2 linked regions of the Tamandua tetradactyla genome follow. The protein of the gene in region 1 interacts with the protein of each later gene in a pairwise test. Links are inferred from orthologs where the notes say so. Each region holds a gene or a part of one and is shown in the gene's direction. Other genes may lie near its edges. The genes, in order: TSKS and TSSK2.

Region 1 (9,832 bases):
ACCTATCCAGCCCTTCTCATCCATGACACCCCCTTTTCCAGGCGCTCAAGCCCTGCCCCACTAATCTTGCTGTGTTTCACGTCCTCGGTCCGCTCTAGCCTCCTGCCGCTCCACGGCGCCACAAGGAACCCCCCATGTACCTCCTTCAGTCCGGTCTACAGCAGGACCCCCCATCGCCCACAATGCAACCCACACTCCACCCACCCACGGTCAGCCTTTCCACCGTTCCCGAGGGACGCCGCCTGGCCCCCCCTCCCCTGGACCTCATGGGCCTCCCCTTCTCTGAGACCCTCCCGGGTCCTCCCCGTGTCGTCACCTCAAGAGGCACTCGATGACACCCGCAGCCCCTCCATCCCCGCCACCCTAAACTTCCCCCGGCGCCTCTCTGGCTGTGACCTCGCTGGCCTTCCACCCCCGGGGCCCTTCCACGGCCTCCGAAGCCCCCAAATCCACGCTCCCCCGCCCCAGTGTCCTCCGGCCGCGGGCTCACAGTTTCGGATGTCGGAGATGAACACCGCGAGCCCCCGCATCCCATCGCCCTTGGACACGGCCGGCATGATGGCGGGGGTGTCGGCTCCAGGCCTGGCCGGGCAGGGCACAGCGCAGCGGGGACTGGCGGGCGGCGACCAGGCGTAGAGAATCTCAGGCAGCGCCGAGGAGCCGGGCCGGGACTAAGGGGAGGGCGCGCGGGCGGGCGGACAGGCCGCGGCTCCGCCCCCGGGCCCCTCCCCTCGACTCCACCGCCCGGAACTGTCAGCCGCGGGTTGGCTGTGGCTACTGCCGCTAAGGCTAGGGCTCATCCCCTACTGCTTTCTAATTGGCCCTTAGGTAAAAGTACAGCGCTGCGATTGGTCCAGTACCCCGCTATTTCCGTTCGGGCACGGGGGAGGGAGCGGTGCCCAAGAGACGGGCTGGGTTCGGTTACGTACCGTGGGACCGCCCCCTCCGCGCTGCCGGGTCGGATACTGATTGGACCTGGCCTCTCTCCGAGAGGGGATGAAAAGACGTGAAGGAAGGCGGGGAAGCGGGCCTGAGGAGGCGGGACTTGAGTGCACAGAGGCCAGTGGAGGGGCAGATCACCCCCACAGGCATCGCGGATTTGCGGGGTCTGGCCTATTTCCGCCCTCGAGTGGGCGGGTGTGGGGGCGGGTGGAGGGCGATGATTGGTGGAGAAGGAAGGAGACGGGGAAGAGTCACTCAGCTGGTCTGGGATAGGTAGAGCGACGTCTGCAATTCCCTGCTGCAGAGAAGGGGTTGGGCGGGGCGAGAGTCTAGGAGGTGTTTACTGCGCAAGCGTCTCCTAGTTTCCCTTTTTCCCCCCCCCAATTCCTTAAATTCATTTGTAGGAGCATTCTCTCTTCCTTCCCGCCACCTTTCTCTAGATTCTAAGATGTCAGGACTTGGCTTGTCAGAAAACCTGGGATCTCACTGGAGAAGAACTGTATCCACGTCTAGTCCCATGAAACAGAAGTTAAACCTGAAGTCCAGAGACGTTGAGTGACTTGTCAAAGGTCACACAGCTCGGCAGCGGCAAAACTGAGATTTAAACTATATTTTGGCCTATAGCCACTTTTCATTGTTTTTTGTTTTGTTTTGTTTTGTTTTTCTTCAACAACAACGCCTCAGGTAACCTCCATTAGAGCAGATATCAAATAAAAATTGTGATTATCTTCACCAGATGCGCAGCTCCGCCTGGGCAAGAATGGAACCTTGTACTGCAAAGCTAAAAAGGAAAAAAAAATGCTTTTTGAAGTAAGGAATGGGTCAATCGGCTTTGGCCCGGCCCCTCGGCGCTCCGGAGACCCTGTTTGGTTGATTGGCTTTGGGGAAAACAAAGCTTCCAGAACTGCAGCGCCCTTGGCTATTGAGAAATTTGGGGCAAAGGGAAGTGGGAGAGTCCATTTCTGTCACCTCGAGGAACAAAACCCCACCCCACCACCCTTTTCTAATCTCAGAAGCCAAGTATCCCGGGAATGAGCCTTAGGGGAGTGTCCTGATCCTGGGAATGTCCACTCCGAATCCTGGGGGAATGGGTAAGAGCCCACCTCTCAGGTTCAGTGGATCCGTCCATTTGGATTTCCAAGAATAGGGTTTAGGAAAATACATTCTGCATCCTAGGGGGGGCTGTCTGGGCCGGCGAGTCCATTCCTAACACCGCGAAGGGGAGACTGGCTTCTCCTAGGGAACGTAGGGGCAATCCTATTTTAAAAATTGTATTATTAGGACCAGGAGTTGAACAAGTCCTTTTTTTAATGGAGGAAAACATTAAGCGTTCCAAGGACTTGTTCGTGGGTGACTTGGAGAGGACCACTTTGTCCCTGAAGAAATCGCCTTTAAAAGTATATAGTAGTAGTAGTGGAATTCAAACTAGTCCTGTTTGGGGGTTATGAGGAAGAGACGTGAGGGGTCGTTACGCACACACACACACAAAAACACCGCCACCACCGCCATGTCCCCCACAGAGCCCACCTAAGGACAAACAGATTTAACTCTGGGTTCTTGGTGTGGAGTGAAGGATGTCCTAGCCCCCTCCTGGGTATATGGGGGACTCAGCCTGGCCTCTCCTCCCTCAGGGAGCTCATTAATTGGCTGAAACTTAATTTTCAAGACTGGGCTTAAAGTAGAAGCGATCTAAGGTCTGATGAGGACCTGAGACTGGGGCAGGTTGAGGAGCCAGGGGCTGCCTTCCTGGGCCCTGGGCGTCTTGAGCCTGAGAAGGGATGGACATGGCTGACCCCCTTTGAGTTAGAATAGCACTGTCCACATAGAATTACAGTGAGGGGCGGGCCACGGTGGCTCAGCAGGTGAGAGTGCTTACCTGCCATGCCCGAGGACCCGGGGTTTGATTCCTGGTACCTGACCATGTGAAAAAAAAAAGAGATTTACAGTGAGAACCCTGGGTGTAATTTCCAATCTAGTTTTCAATTTCTAGCCACGTTAAAATAAATAAATAAACAGAAACAGGTGATCCTAACTTCCATAGTATATTTTAGTTAATCCAGTATCCAACTGTTATCATTTTAGCCTGTTTTATGTTCTTATTTTTGTAAATCTTTGGAATCCAGTAAACATACAGCCCGGCTCAGCTTGGACAAGCCACGTGGCCTGTGCTCAGCAGTCAGAGGCTCTCAGTAGGGTCAGGCAGGCTGGGGCCAGACCATTCTGGAAAGCTGGGGCTGATCTGCTGGTAAGTCACCTGGAAGACCAGGTCATGAACAAGTCCACCTTTGGAGGAGATCTAGGGAGGTGTGGTCAAGCCATGATAGGCTTTAAGATGGGACGGTAAGAGGGAACCTTGGGCACGCCAAGGAGCACATGGGTTGAGCCACTAGTAGAAGTTCTAAGACTTCCACCCGAGCAAGGCCACTCATGATGCACATCGGATTCTGATTTCCTCCAGAAGAACCAAACTTACCCCCGGTCTTCGCGTTTGGGCACCTGCCATAACTCCAGACATTTGTTCTGGAATCCTTCCCCACCCCTCCACCCAAACCAAATCAGGACACATCATGATGCCTGCAGCCACCCCATGGCCTGCCTCAGCCCCTTCCAGGCCACCACCCTCTGTTGCCTGGATCTTGGATTGCTTTCTTAAAGCCCTCTCTGCCCGGTCCTTCTGCAGCTTGGATTTTTAAAAATTTTTATTGTGGTGACATACATACAACCCCAAATTTCCCATTTTAACCACTTTCATGCATACGATTCAGCAATATTAATTACGTTCGCAGTATTGTGCCACCATCACCATCATCCTTTACCAAGAATTTTTCATCACCCTGAACAGAAACTCTGTACCCGTTAAGTAATCACTTCCCCTTCCCTCCCTCCAGCACCACCACCCCCATAACCTCATCCTACTTCCCCTCTCTATGCATTTGCTGATTCTGGTGAGTTCATGGAAGCAGAATCATGCATTTGGCTTATTTCGCTTAGCATCATGTTTTTTGATCGTTTGATCGCACTATTACTTCATCCCAATTGCCAGTTTCTGCTCCATCACTGCGTGATGAACATTTCTAAATACTCAGAAAAGTCAAAATCGCCATTGAGCCAACACCCTCTACCCCCACGTTGATTCCACCGTTAACATATTTCTTTACTTGCTTTATCACCTGTTTGTATGTGTACCCTTCCCTCTGTCCATCTGTACCTGACCCCAGATGCTTCAGCCTGCTTTTGGCTGGAACTTGATATTCACTTAGATTCTTTTTTGTTTTTGGGGGTGGTTTTTTTTTTTGCATTTTTAAAGTTTATTTATGAAACATAACCGCATACAAACACAAACATTCTTACCATATGATCATTCCATTCTTGTTATATAATCAGTAACTCACAGTATCATCACATAGTTGCATATTCATTATCATGATCATTTCTTAGAACATTTGCATCAATTCAGAAAAAGAAATAAAAAGAAAACAAAAAAATTCATACATACCATGCCCCTTACCCTTCCCTCTCATCGACCACTAGCATTTTAATCTACTAAACGTATTTTAACATTTGTTCACCTATTATTTAATTATTTTTAATCCATATGTTTTACTCATCTGTCCATAAGGTAGGTAAACGGAGCATCAGACACAAGGTTTTCACAATCACACAGTCGCATTGCGAAAGCTTTATCGTTATACAATCACGTTTAGATTCTTTTTCAGCAGGTAAAATGCACATGCAATAAGAGGCACAGACGTGCAGGGCACAAAGCGACATGTTTTGACAGAGGTATGTGCCTGCCGTCACCCCATTTCCATTCCCTTTCCATCATGCGTCCACGCCCAGTGTTTTTTTGTCTGTGCATCTGTCTTGTTGCTCCCCCGTAGGAAATGGTCAGGGGCTTACATCCGTGCTCATTGGCCACCACCTCCCAGGCCCCCCAAAAACACCAGATCCCCGGCATTGGGCCAACCATCAAGTATGAGAGTGGGGGGCTGTAATGACCCCACGTTTGTTCTCAGGAAGAGGGGAGTCAGAGGTCAGAGGACACCCCCCCCTCACCCCAGGAACCCCAGGGCCCACTTGTTGTAAGTCTTGAACTAAAATTTGAGGAGGTCCGGTGTGGCTCTGAGAGGCCGGGGGCACGCTGGGGTAGAATTGGAAGCCTCAGAGGTGGGGGTAGTCCATGAGAGTTTCTGGAAGGTTCCATGAGCCAGGGCCTCTCTCCCTTCCTGGGTCACCTCCCCTACCCCCACCCGGGGGCCCAGTTGGTTGGGCCCTTTGTGAGGCGGGCTGAGGGGGCAGGGGCTCTGAGGTTCAGCGGTCAGAGTAGGTGGCGAGTCTCAGAGGAAAGAGCCCCTGGGAGCAGGACCCCCCCATGCCATGGCGAGCGTGGTGGTGAAAACAATCTGGCAGTCCAAAGAAATTCACGAGGCCGGGGATCCCCCCGCGGGGGTCGAGAGCCGCTCCCAGCTGCTCCCAGAGGCCCCCGGGGGGGTGCTCAGCCCGGCCAAGGGGATCACGAAGAAAAAGAAGGCCGTGTCGTTCCACGGGTGGGTTTGTCGCACCCTGTCGGGGACGGTCCTAGCGCCCAGCGCTGCCTCCATCAGAGCCCAAGTCCCACCGTGGGTGCTGGAGGAAGGGGAGGGGGAGGGCAGAGGAGGCACAGCCAGAGGGCAGGGGCGAGGGGGGAGGGGAAGGAAGAAGGCAGAGTGCAAGGGGCAGAGGCAGACACAGTAGAGGGGAGGGCAGTGGTGGATGCAGGGAGGGAACACTCACTGGGGAAGGAAAAGGGAGAGAGGAACTGGGGAAGGGAGAGGAAAGTGGTGATGGAGCATAGTCAGTGGGGAAAGGAGAAGAAAGTAGACAGCTGGGATGAAAAGGGAGAAGAAAAAGAAAGGCGGGGATGATAAGAAAGAAGAAACAAGGCAGCAGGGAAGGGGAAAGGAGAAAGTAGGCGGCGGGATGAGAAGGAAGAAGAAAGTAGTCAGCGAGGAAATGGAAGGGAGAAGAAAGCAGGCAGTGAGGCTGGAGTCAGGGGAGGAGGTGGTGTGGAGGCAGGAGGGGCTGCACCCCATGGGGGCTGTGTCCCGACCCCTCGGCCTGTCTCTCCTCTCCAGGGTGGAGCCCCGGATGTCGCACGAGCCGATGCACTGGTGCCTGAACCTCAAGCGGTCCTCCGCCTGCACCAACGTGTCCCTGCTCAACCTGGCCGCCGTGGAGCCCGCTGACTCCTCAGGGACAGAGTCGACCGCGGAAGAGAGTGGTGGCCCCCCTGCACTGCCCGGACCTCCCGCCTCCCCGCCGCCACCCTGGGCTCCAGATGACCCAGACATCACGGAAATCCTGGTGAGAGGCCCCGGCTGGGGAAGACAAGGGGGCTTGACCCGGTGGTAGGCAAACGCTGAGGGTGGGGAAGGGGCTCTTGATTTGACATGAGAAGGTTTTGGTTGCTCTTTAAGGCCCAGGTGATCTGCCTCTGCCTCCTTTGACAGCCGGCCATGAATTGGTTTTGTCCTTGGCAAATGATCCCTGCTGTCTTGGGGTTTGTTTTGGTTCTTTCAGTCACTGCTACATGTCTTGCACGGGGCTGGGGACACAGACAAGAATCAGTTGAGTTCACTGCCCTTGGGGAGCTCTCAGTCCAGTGGGGGAGATGGACACAGCCTGGGTGACAGAGGCCATGATGAAGGTGGTGCTGAGGTCCCAGACAAGGACCCCTCAAACCAGGCTGGGGAAAGCCGGGAAGACTTCCTAGAGGAGGTGGTGTTGGAACTGGGCCTTGATGGATGAAAAGGAGTTCTCTGAGGGGATCACCCTAGAGTTTGGGGCAAAACTGGGAGGTGAGCAAAAGCTAGGGTAGTTCCTGGCTGGAGCATGGGGCACCTCTGCTTGGTCACTGAATTACCTCCCAAGGCTTCCCCTGGGCTCTGGCAGACATGGACACCAAGAATCAAACTTAAAATAACTGCAATCAGGATGATGATAATGAGGTGCATTTGCCAGGCACTTTCTGTGTTCTGAGATCCTCGATTTCCTCATCTGTAAAACAGAGAGTCATGCATCTGTTCTTCAAACAAATATTTCTTGAATGTCTACTGCTGAGTGTACGTCTACAGAATTCTGATTAGAAGAGGTCTCGCCTCATAAGTTTGTCATGAATTGAAGGGTAGTTCACCGAGGTAGAACACTGAGCGTCACGCCCAGCGCTGGCAGGCACTGAGTGAGCGGTAGCTGTTATTTTTTATGTTCATGGTTGTTGTTTGTACCATTTTGCAGATGAACATATCGAGCCCCGGAGAGGTTAAATAGCTTTATGGAAGGTCATGCAGCTTGTAAGGGGTAGATAGCGGCCTAGGGGTCAGGCTGGGGGAGCAGCAGAGGTGGGAGCTCTGAAGAAGGAGGCTTTGGTCCATCCAGGAATGGTCTAGAAAGAACTTTCCAGAAAAGGCAGCACATAAACTGAATCTTGGGGATAAAGAAGGCGCTCCCCAGGCAGAAGATGAGAAAGTGTGTTCCAGCTACACGGAGGGACATGTGCGAGAATGGGCAGGGTTGAAAAGAGCAGGAGGCAGGGCCAGGGGTGGGGTCGGGGGAGGGGGCTGGAGTGCAGCGTTGGGGATGGGGAGGGCGGAGGCTCAGAACCACGGGCATTTTCCCGAGGGCGATGGGGGGCCAGTGTGAGCTCATGGGCCACGTCCCTTAGGGTGGAGGTCCCGTTCTCTTCCCTTTGAAGTTCTGTGAGGGTGCCCAGTTGAAAGATGGAAACCCAGCCACGACAGGAGGTAGTGATGCCTGCAGGATGGCGCTTGTAAGAAGAGGGCCCGGCGCTAGAAGCTGAGTGGGTGTGACATTAAACAAATGTTCTCGCTTTCTCTTGAAAGACCCCGCTAGGCCCACGGAAGGGCGTCTGGAAGGGGGAGGCTGGAGGCCAGGAGGCTCGCGCGAGGCTGGGTGAGGGTCCGGGTGGGCGTTCAGGAACTGAGCCAGGATGGGGAGAGGGGAACGGGGCGCAGGACTGGACGGCCTGAGGACTTGCCCGGCAGCCCTTCCCACCCTCTCCCTGCGGCATCTGTGTCCCGTGAGAGTTACTTCTGAGCCAAGACCTCCAGCAGATCCCAGGCCTGGGAAAGGGCCCCGGGCAGGGGATGAAAAGCTGACTCAGTGGCGAGCGCATCCTGGGGTAGCTGGGGGTGGGGGGGTGGGGGGAAGACCTCCACGGGCTTCCCGGGCCTTCTGGGTGAGATGGAAAAAATAATAACAGCCAAGGCCAAGGGTGTATGTGACAGCGGGAAGGGGCACAGGACCCAGGCTGTGTCAAGGAAGACACTCGCAAGGGAGGCAGAGAGAAGGGGCAGAAACCCAGAGGGAGGGGGACGGAGACCCAGAGAGAGGGGGACGGAGAGCTGTGGGCAATGAAGACCCTGTTTGAGAGGGGGTCATTTCCAGAGGAGGGAGAGACGGAGGTGGGGAAACAGTGAAGACGACAAGGCGTGGCCCCTGTCTTAAGTTGGGACATCCTATCTTTACGAGCCCAAACGAGCCACCTGAGGCCCAGAGAAGGTGACGTTGCCTTTTGGAAAGTCACGCAGTGAGTCAGTGGCTAAGATTGACAGGGCAGGTCATGTAACCCTTGCTGGGCCTTGCCCTCCATCTGCAGATTTCCCAGGTGTTTCTAAGGCACCTTCAAGGTAGATCCTGTCCTATTATCATGATTTTTAATGCTAATCGCCGTATTTACATGTTGATTACATCATCTCGGTAACCCTGCCGTCTGAACAAGGTATTATTTCCATTTTATGGGAGAAGAAACAGACTGGTTTGGAGCGGAAATTGGATTGCCTAGAGTCTCACTTGGGTGGCCAAAGAGAGATTTGCCCCCAGGAGTTATAACACCCACTGCTCAGCCAAGGCTGACAGGCTCTGGCTTAACTGCTCCCTGGATCTGTCCTCATGGGAGCTAACACCTCCAGGGACCCCAGCCACCCCTTCCCTTTTTCGGAGTTTTGACCATGGTCCTTTTCTGGGTTAGTCCATGTTCCTTCCCACTGCAGCCCGGTAAAGGTAGCTGTCACTCCTATCTCCGTTTTATAGATAGGGAAACAGAGGCAGAGAGAGGTGACATCCCGTCTCCTAGGTCACACAGTTAGCAAGTGGGAAGACTGGGGGTTGACCATAGGACCTGCTTCCCCAAGTTCCCAGAACAGGTTGCCTACAGGAAACCCAAGACCTTCTGTGTCTTCAGTTTAGAAAGATCAGTTTGTGTATTGGTTATCTAATGCTGTGAAACAAATGACCCCCAAATTTAGCAGCTTCAAACAGCAAACCTAGGACGGAATAGCAGTTCTGTGTTACTGTCAACATTTCACCTGGGGCTACAGGCATCTCAAGGCCTGAAGGTTGTACCTGGCTGTTGGCTGGAGGCCTCAGTTTCTCTCAAAAACATGCTGCTTATGACACGGCTGTTATTGTCTCCCAGACCAAACAGCTCAGGCAGGAAGCCACAGACCTTTTTTTTTTTTTTTAATTTTAAATTTATAAAAGTATGACAACAAAGAAACACAAACATTCTTAATATATAATCATTCCATTCTACGTATATAATCAGTATATAATCAGTAATTCATAATATTATCACATAGTTGCATATTCATCATCATGATCATTTCTTAGAACATTTGCATCAATTCAGAAAAAGCAATAAAAGTCAACAGAAAAAAATAAAATGAAAACAGAAAAAAAATTATACATACCATACCCCTTACCCCTCCCTTTCATTGATCACTAGCATTTCAAACTAAATTTATTTTAACATTTTTTGCCCCTATTATTTATTTTTATTCCATATATTCTACTCATCTGTTGACAAGGTAGATAAAAGGAGCATCACACAGAT
Region 2 (9,171 bases), on another chromosome or scaffold:
CGACGGCAAGGTCTACATCGTCATGGAGCTGGGGGTCCAGGGCGACCTCCTGGAGTTCATCAAGTCCCGGGGGGCCCTGCACGAGGACGAGGCCCGCAAGAAATTCCACCAGCTCTCCTCGGCCATCAAGTACTGCCACGACCTGGACGTCGTCCACCGGGACCTCAAGTGTGAGAACCTTCTCCTCGACAAGGACTTCAACATCAAGCTGTCCGACTTCGGCTTCTCCAAGCGCTGCCTGCGGGACGACAGCGGCCGGCTGACCTTGAGCAAGACCTTCTGTGGGTCGGCGGCCTATGCGGCCCCCGAGGTGCTGCAGGGCATCCCCTACCAGCCCAAGGTCTACGACATCTGGAGCCTGGGAGTGATCCTCTACATCATGGTGTGCGGCTCCATGCCCTATGATGATTCCAACATCAAAAAGATGCTGCGCATCCAGAAGGAGCACCGCGTCAACTTCCCACGCTCCAAGCACCTGACGGGCGAGTGCAAGGACCTCATCTACCGCATGCTCCAGCCGGACGTCAATCGGCGGCTGCACATCGACGAGATCCTTGGCCACTGCTGGGTGCAGCCCAAGGCTCGGGGCCTGTCCTCGGTGGCCATCAACAAGGAAGGGGAGAGCTCCCGGGCCCCCGAGTCCGTGTGGGCCCCAGATCCCGTCTCTGACAAGAAGTCGGTCACCAAGCAGGAGCCCCGGGAAGAGGCCCGGCTGGAGGCAGGTCCTGAGACTGAGTCGGTGCAGGTGGCGAGGCAGTCGGAGACCATCGGTTTCACCGGGGAGATATCTGGGGAGACCAAGGAAGGGCCCCCCCAGCCGCTCACCGAGACACACACCCCGTGAGCCTCTGTTGGCCCAGGGGGCCAGCGGGGAACAAGATGGAGCCCATGACTTCAGGCCTGAGCGTGGAAGAAGCCAAGAGAGGAGGCCGAGAAGGGGCGCAGGCCCCTTGGAGCCACTATTTTTGTCAGTTCCTTCTCCCTCCCTTTGAACTTGGTGACCCACATGGCTAAAGAAGCAATAAATCACAGACTATATTAGTGTACACCCCAAGGTGAATGTCTTTCTCCAGCTCCCGCCCACCCTCCGTTGGAGCTATGCTGTACCTCTCCCTCAGGAAGATACATCCTAGTATGTCCTGGGTGCCTGGTTCGTGACCACAGGGCCTGGCTGCAGAAGCTGGGAGGGCGGGTTGTGGGGCACAGGGGCGAGTGGGGTATGCGGCTGGAGGGGCAGGGACCAGAGCTGGGAGTGAGGAAGATGCTGCTTTGAAAGGGAGGGTTGTGAACACGGTGCTGGGGTGGAAAGGAGAGGATGAAACCGAGGGTCCAGCTGGCTACCTGCAGAGAAAGGGCGGTTGAGGCCAGGGGCCTCTCAAGCTGGGGAGCTGGCTCTGTCTGCAGTCAGGGGTCTTGCCATCCCGTGGCAAGGAAGACAGAGTGCCTGCCAGCAGGGAGAGGCATCTCTCCCAAACCAGCTATGCCCCTGCCCACTTCTCAATCTTGGGTAGACCTCCCAACCCTCAGTCCTCTGGGAGAAGAGACCCTCCACTCCCCGCCACAGCCAGGTCACTCCCCTGCCTGGATCTTTCTTCTCCCCACAGCTGCCTTGCAGTTTATCTTGGGGCCCCCAGCTCTGCCTCCCCACCCCCCCATCCCTGCAGACACCTTCCACTATGGCTAGAGCCCCCTCTGCATCCCTTCTGGCCCCCACTGCTTCTCCCAGGTCTAGCCTCCTTTCTCCCTCCTTCTCCTTCATGTGTCCCCTCCCCTGTCATTTCGGTGGCCTGCATGGTCCTTGGGCCCGGGAATGACCCTCATCCTGTTCAGAGGCTGGGAAAGCAGCTCAGAGAGGGTCAGTGGCCTGCCTGATATCACACAACCTGGAGCAGAGGACCAGCCACTCTCTGCTGGAGGCCGCCCTGTGCCAGAGACTCCAGACCCCTGCCTGGCCCCCCAAAGGTGTCAGGATGGTGACCTCCCGTGGCCAGTCCACGCCTCTTCTGCCCAAGTGCCCAGCTGTCCCTATGCAGTCCTCTCTCACACTGTCTGGCTGCCCCCTCCTCCGTCTGTCCACCCTCCGTCTGGTTACTTCCTGTGTCTCGGCCTTCCTGGTGTCCCTAGCCTGTGCCCCAGGTCTGTCCTGCACCCTGGCACAGCCTACGACATCCACTCACCCTGGCTGCTGTGGCACCGCACCCTGCTGGGCTCCTCGCTGGCCTCAGGGTGCATGAAGGCATGGGCCCTGCTTCTCCCCAGCTCCTCGGACAGACTCTCAGATACTTTCAGGAGGAATGGATGGAGGCCTGCTTTGCAGAGGAAATTGAAGCTCAGAGAGAGACCCCCTAACCCCATCCCAGACAGCTGCACTTGGGCAATGCTGAGGCCCACTTCCTCCAGCATGTCCCTGCCCCCCCCCCGCCCCAAACCAGAGATGCTACATCAGTACCATTCAGAGGGTAAAAGGAGGCAGAACCCACCTAAAAGGAAGCAGAGCGATGCCCCAGACAGAGTTTGGAGATGCAGGGAAAAGACAGGGGAGGGGGCTCATGCTTCTGGGTGCTGGCCTGGCAAATCCTCACAGCCAGCCCCTTCTGGGACCTAAAGGAGTGGAGTTCTGATTATTTCAGCCAGAAACAGGCTCCAGTATTTATGTGACACCTGAGATTCAAAATCAGAGCACTGAACTATTTATTAAAAGTCTGCACTATGCCATACAGGAACTGTTTAAGAACTTGAGAAAGTGATCAGACATCAAGTAGAGCTATGAATGAAGCTGATCTGGATAGGACTAAGGTATATCAGAAGACTGAGTAAAGGATGAATCTGACCATTTTTGAAACTTCAACTTCAGTGTCAGCCTAAAGGGAGAGATGTTTATTGGGTGCAAAATTTATATTTTGGGTAGTGCATCTCCTAATGTAACTCGTGTGATCAGTTGAGTTGAACACCGTTAAGTACAGGGAATCTTGAATAGGGTCTGAGATTTTGTTGGTTTGTCCAAGTTAGTGTGATGCCCCAATGCATCCCAGAGTGATTTGGACAGTGAATACAGAAGTATTTGCAGGGTCCCCTTAGGAGAATGGGGAGAAAAGAGGGAAAGACTCAACTTCCCCATTTGGATAATTTCTGATACTCTCACAAGTAGTGTGGACAACCAAATCAATAAGCCAAGTCCCCAGTCTTGGGGTTCACCCCTATGAAACATATTCCTACTATGGATAGGCTAAGCCTACTTAAAATTAGGCCTAAGAGTCAACCCCAGAGAACCTCTTTTGTTGCTCACATGTGGCTCTAAGCCAATAAGGCAAGTGAACCACTGCCCTCCCCAGCACGTGGGACATGACTCCCAGGGGTATGAATCGCCCTGGCAACGTGGGACAGAACTTCCAGGAAGAGCTGGGATTCGGCCTCAAGGGATTGAGAAAACCTGCTTGACCAAAAGGGGGGGAGAGAGAAATGAGACAAACTAAAATGTCAGTGGCTGAGAGATTTCAGAGTCAAGAGGTTATCCTGGAGGTTATTTGTACACATTACATAGATATCCGTTTTCAGTTTATGGTGTATTGGAGTGGCTAGAGGGAAGTACCTGAAACTGTAGACTGTTCCAGTAGCCTTGTTTTTTGAAGATGATTATATAATGATATAGCTTTTACAATATGACTGTGTGATTGTGAAAACTTTGTGTCTGATGCTCCCTTTATATAGGGTATGGACAGATGAGTAAAAAAATATGGGTAAGAAAATAAATAAATAATGGGGGAACAAAGATTAGTGGTCAATGAGGGGGGATAAAGGGTACGGTATGTATGAGTTTTTTCTGTTGTATTATTTTTTCTGAAGTGATGCAAATGTTTTAAAAAATGATCATGACGATGAATACACAACTATGTGAAGACACTGCGAGCCATCAATTGCACATCGTGCATGGAATGTTTGCATGTGAAGGATGTTCATGTTTGTATGCTGATTTATCAATAAAAATATTTTAAAAGAAAGAGGCCCCAGGAAAAAGGAGCATACCACGTTAAAACAAGTCACAAAATGACGGGGCTCCAAAGAGCTCTCGGAGTGGGCCTGGGGCAGAGAAGGACCTCTCGGGGAGGTGCTCAGCCCTTGCTCACCCAGAACGCTCCCACTTGGGGTACAAGGGGGGGCTCTCCTCCTCTGAGTTAGGCTGCTCTGCCAAGCCAGACACCAGGAGCTCCTTGCAGGGCCCAGGTGTCTCCACACAGCCATGCCTCTGGCCACGACTTTCTGAGTATCTGGCCTGCCCTTCTGGTCAGCCTGGCGGAAACTCCTGTGCACCTCTGCTTTGCCATCACTTCCTCTGAAACCTTCCTTGGCCACCTACCAGACCTTCTTCCTCTCCCCTGGACACCTGTCCTGGCAATGCAGCCAAGAGAGGCCAGCCAGGGTTCTCTGGAGCCAGGGAGAGAGGCTCGGTGGACATGCTGAGGAGGTACTTTGTGCCCACATAGACTACACTTTGCAAAGCAGAAATCCACACACATGCCCCCAAAAGGATTTTCCTATTGCTTCCAGGTGCTAAAAGCCCCCTGAGGGACAGAAAGCATGTGCCAACCCTGGGAACCTTGGGGATTGGGGAAGGGGTGCAAGTAAGAGCCACCCAGCTCTGACTTAGGTCCAGTGACACTTCAGGACCCCTCTTCGCCCAGGTGCCAGCTGTCCAGGGTGCTGTGCCACCCACCCGCCCACCCAAGTACCCACCCCCCTCTTCTCTGTCTCCTCTGCGACCTGACCCCCAGAGCCCATCCTGTGTCGACCTTGCTGCCAGGGACCACCGTTTCAAAGGTAACTTGGACCTGTGCCCTGAAATAACTGCCCACCGCCCAGAGCCCACCTTACCTCCTCTGTGAGCTCACCTGCTGCTCAGAATCACTCAGAATTCTCAGAGTGAGCCTCTCTCACCTCCCAGCTCTTCCCGGCCGCAGGACGCCTGGACACCTGCTTCCCCGGACTGGGGCCCTGCCCACCCCTGTGAATATGGACGGGCTGAGCTGGCACCCGCAGGCTCACCCGGGCAGTCGCGACCACTTGGCCGGCCAGCACCTGCTCCCACCCAGGAAGCTGCTTCTGGCCTGGAGTACCAGAACCACCAACACTGGGGGGGGGGGGGGGGGGGGGTTCTCTATGGATCTCAAAGGCGCTGTGGGCGATGTGCCCGAGAGGGACGAGGACCCACACAAGGGTCCAATTCCACGGTTGGGAGAGCGAACGTGCCACGGGGCTGCACTCGGGCTGGGCTAGGGCCACCTCCCCTTGGGGCCTGGCAGGCAGGGTGGCCACGGCCAAGGGGGTGGATGATGAGGGATGCCAAGGTCCCGGGGCTGCCCTCCTTCCAGAAGGCGGGTGGTGGGCGCTCCTGCCTGGGCTGGCCTGGCTTCCAAGGTTCCAGGGGCCCCATCCGGCAGCACCCCAAGCACCCGCTGCCAGCAGCCTGGCTTTGTGACTTCACGTGCTGAAGTCACCCGGAGACAATGCCGAGCGTTCCACTCGCTCCAACCCCGGGCCCGGCCCACCCAGAGGAGTCCCTGCCAGCGCCGGGGAGGATGATGCCCGCTGGCCCATGTGGGGAGGGGATGTAGAGGGCGGCGGGCGCCGGCCGCTCTTGGCACCATGGACGATGCCGCGGTGCTGAGGAAAAAGGGTTACATCGTGGGCATCAACCTGGGCAAGGGCTCCTATGCCAAGGTCAAGTCGGCCTACTCAGAGCGCCTTAAGTTCAACGTGGCGGTCAAGATCATCGACCGCAAGAAAGCCCCCGCGGACTTCGTGGAGAGGTTTCTCCCCCGGGAGATGGACATTCTGGCCACCGTCAGCCACCGCTCCATCATCAAGACCTACGAGATCTTCGAGACTTCCGACGGCAAGGTCTACATCGTCATGGAGCTGGGGGTCCAGGGCGACCTCCTGGAGTTCATCAAGTCCCGGGGGGCCCTGCACGAGGACGAGGCCCGCAAGATGTTCCGCCAGCTCTCCTCGGCCGTCAAGTACTGCCACGACCTGGATGTCGTCCACCGGGACCTCAAGTGTGAGAACCTTCTCCTCGACAAGGACTTCAACATCAAGCTGTCCGACTTCGGCTTCTCCAAGCGCTGCCTGCGGGACGACAGCGGCCGGCTGACCTTGAGCAAGACCTTCTGTGGGTCGGCAGCCTATGCGGCCCCCGAGGTGCTGCAGGGCATCCCCTACCAGCCCAAGGTCTACGACATCTGGAGCCTGGGAGTGATCCTCTACATCATGGTGTGCGGCTCCATGCCCTACGATGATTCCGACATCAAGAAGATGCTGCGCATCCAGAAGGAGCACCGCGTCGACTTCCCACGCTCCAAGCACCTGACGGGCGAGTGCAAGGACCTCATCTACCGCATGCTCCAGCCGGACGTCAATCGGCGGCTGCACATCGACGAGATCCTCGGTCACTCGTGGCTGCAGCCCCCCAAGCCCAAGGCCTTGTCTTCCGGCTCCTTCAAGCGGGAGGGGGAGGGCAAGTACCGGGCCGAGTGCAAACTGGACACCCGGCCGGGCTCGCGAGCCGAGCACCGGCCGGACCACAAGCTGGGGGCCAAGACCCAGCACCGGCTGCTGGTGGCGCCCGAGAACGAGGACAAGGCGGAGGACAGGCTGGCCGAGACCTCCAGGGCCAAGGACCATCACCCCTCTGGGGCCGAGGTGGGGAAGGCGAGCACCTAGCCACCATGAGGGGCCCTCTGAGGCGGCGTGGGGCGGGGTTTGCGCTCACGATAAGTAGGGCAGGTAGGAGCAGAAGAAGGCACGGGTGCAAGGAACCAGTAAAATCCGTCAATTAAACCACTATTTTGATTACGTTCTATTAGCTTTCTTCCACTTAGTAGCAGAAAAAAAAAACCAAACTAAAACGTTCGTTATTGACCACCAAATAAACCGCAAAGTATATACAGCATCAACGGTGCCCCGTGAGGAGTCTTTTTCTCCTTGGCTCAGCCAACCTCCCTCCCTGCGGCTTGGAGGCTCCCTGGGTCTGCAGAGTAGGGCCCGCGGCACATGCTCAGCCAGAGGTCCATGCACTGAGAGTCCTGTGGAGTCTGCCTGCTGCACCCCATGTGGCCTCCCGGGACCTGCTCCCCACCCCAGTGCTCATGTGTGCCAACACCTCACTTGTACCCTGACTTCAACTTTCCCTGGGGCTGTCCGAGGTGGGTGACCCACAAGCCCTGAGCCCTCCTCTCCATCCCCAGCAGGCCCCAACTGAGATCTTGCCTGTACCCAATGCAGCCCGTGCATTTGCCGGCCAGCCTCAGATACCGCCCAGCCAAGTGCAGGCGGCCTGGAAAATGGCCCCCCTTCCATCTGACTCACACCCATCTGGACACCTGCCTCTTCACCTCCTAGGGTTCCACTGAGCTAAAGCCCAGCCTGCCCTGTTGGGGAGAAGCACCAGAAGCTGCACCCTCCCAGCAGCCAGTCAGCCCCCACCCCTATGCCCACCCCTCTGTGGCTTCCAGGGTGTATTGGAGGCTTGGCCACCCTGGGAGCTTGCAGGTTCAGTCTCACCACAGATGTCCGGTCCTCGGCCTGGCCTCCGGAGGGGATCAGTGGACGGAGAGGGCAAGGAGGACCAGAGACAACGGCCTAATGCAGGGCTGGCTGTGCTCCAGGAGGAGAGACTCCAGCCTGAGCAGGTGCCCGGGGCTCAATGTGTGAGGCTTGGAGACCCGGTTCTGGAGCCAGTCCACAGCCTTGGTCACAGCTCCACACAGGGGACAAGGCCTCTCCCCTATGCGGCGAAGGGGCCACCCAGGCAATCAGGGCCAGCAGGACCCAGGGCGGCCAGGCTTTCAGGCTTGGGCACCAACACCCTCTCGCTCATGGCCGTGCAGGGCAGGCGCAGAGACCTTCTAGGTCTGTTTGCGGCCCGGCCCCTCTCCTTTTTACCCTGAGCCCTGGTTCCTGTTCTCGGGGGGCTCGTGTAGGTGGGAATGGTGGGCGGGGCACTGGCGGAGGAGAGGAGAGCAGAGACAGAGACTATCTGCCCAGGGCAGGTCTCCTTGGTCCTTCGGGGGCTAGAAGCCAGGTGCCCGGGAGATGGTGACAGCAGAGCCCAGCTGCAGAAGCTGCAGACCTGCCTAATCCAAAGCATGACTTCCAAGCATCTCCATCCCTCCCTTGGAAGAGTAGGAAGTCCTGGGGGGACAAGGGGGTGGCAGATGTGCAAACTTAGCTCACACAGGTTGCTGGCCTGGAGGGGGGCGGGGGGGCCACAAAAATGTAACACGGGAGGTAGTGGGAAAGCCACGGCCCTGACACCATGGTGGCCACGATCAGCCCAGCCTACAGCCTCTCCCCTGGGAGGTCCCCACAGGCCTGAGATGGTGGCACAGATCCCAAGGCCCCAGGCCCAGTGTGGGCAGGACAAAGGCGACTACCAGATGGTGCTGTTGTTCTTTAATGACAGTCTGGACAGGCGGCGAATAGAAAACAGTTTGAAGTCTCTGGATGCTCGTTGAGCGCAGTCCACGTGGTGAGCGCACGTGTCCAGTCCGTGGCTGGGCACCCAGCTGCCCTGCAGGCCCCGTGCTGGCCCCTCAGCTTGACCCTAGAAGAAGTCGGAGGCTTTGCGGCGGGCGGGAAGCTGCAGCAGGTTGTCTGTGATGGAGGCCGGGTCCTGGCCGAGGGGGGTGCGAGTGGCTGAGCCAGGAGCAGGGGTGCTGGTGGGGGTCTGGGGCCCGCCAGCCGGGCTCTTGAGGTGGGCTGGGCGTGCTGGGGATGGCGTGTAGCTGGCTCGCAGGGCACGGTCGGTGTACTTGCTGGCCGTCCTGCTCACCAGGCGCTGCAGGGCTGGGGACATGGCTGGGCTCAGGCCTTTGGGGGTGAGGCTGGGGGAGGCGACAGAGAGGCGAGCTTAGGCCGGGCTGGGCCCCCAGCCCAAGGCAAGAGCCCTGGAGAAACACATGGGGTGCAGCACAGCCACTGTGGTGGGGCCACCCTTAGCAGCAGGGGACCGAGCTGGAGACCCCCCCACTGCCAAAGGGCTGGCAAGGACTCAGAGGACGCCACACTGGAAGTCTCCTGGGGGAGGCCTCCCAGCTCCTGGTGGCCTTGCCACCGCCCCACAGACACGCCCAGGCCCTGCCAGCAAACCGTGCACTCACTTGCCTGGGCAGAGAC

The links.
Region 2: the proteins of TSKS (region 1) and TSSK2 interact in binary tests that used the Homo sapiens proteins (3 or more experiments, as listed by UniProt). The link is inferred for Tamandua tetradactyla from reciprocal best matches to the Homo sapiens genes TSKS and TSSK2.

Annotation. Positions count from the first base shown.
Region 1 is NC_135342.1:11,398,754-11,408,585, forward strand, and holds the start of TSKS (testis-specific serine kinase substrate), read left to right. Parts: upstream 1-5,210; 5' UTR 5,211-5,319; coding exon 5,320-5,561; intron 5,562-6,056; coding exon 6,057-6,285; intron 6,286-9,832. Other genes in the region: AP2A1 (AP-2 complex subunit alpha-1), read right to left, coding at 491-557. UniProt on the Homo sapiens protein: May play a role in testicular physiology, most probably in the process of spermatogenesis or spermatid development.
Region 2 is NC_135331.1:27,575,966-27,585,136, forward strand, and holds TSSK2 (testis-specific serine/threonine-protein kinase 2), read left to right. Parts: upstream 1-5,490; 5' UTR 5,491-5,640; coding exon 5,641-6,717; 3' UTR 6,718-6,834; downstream 6,835-9,171. Other genes in the region: TSSK1B (testis-specific serine/threonine-protein kinase 1), read left to right, coding at 1-844; ESS2 (splicing factor ESS-2 homolog), read right to left, coding at 8,600-8,879.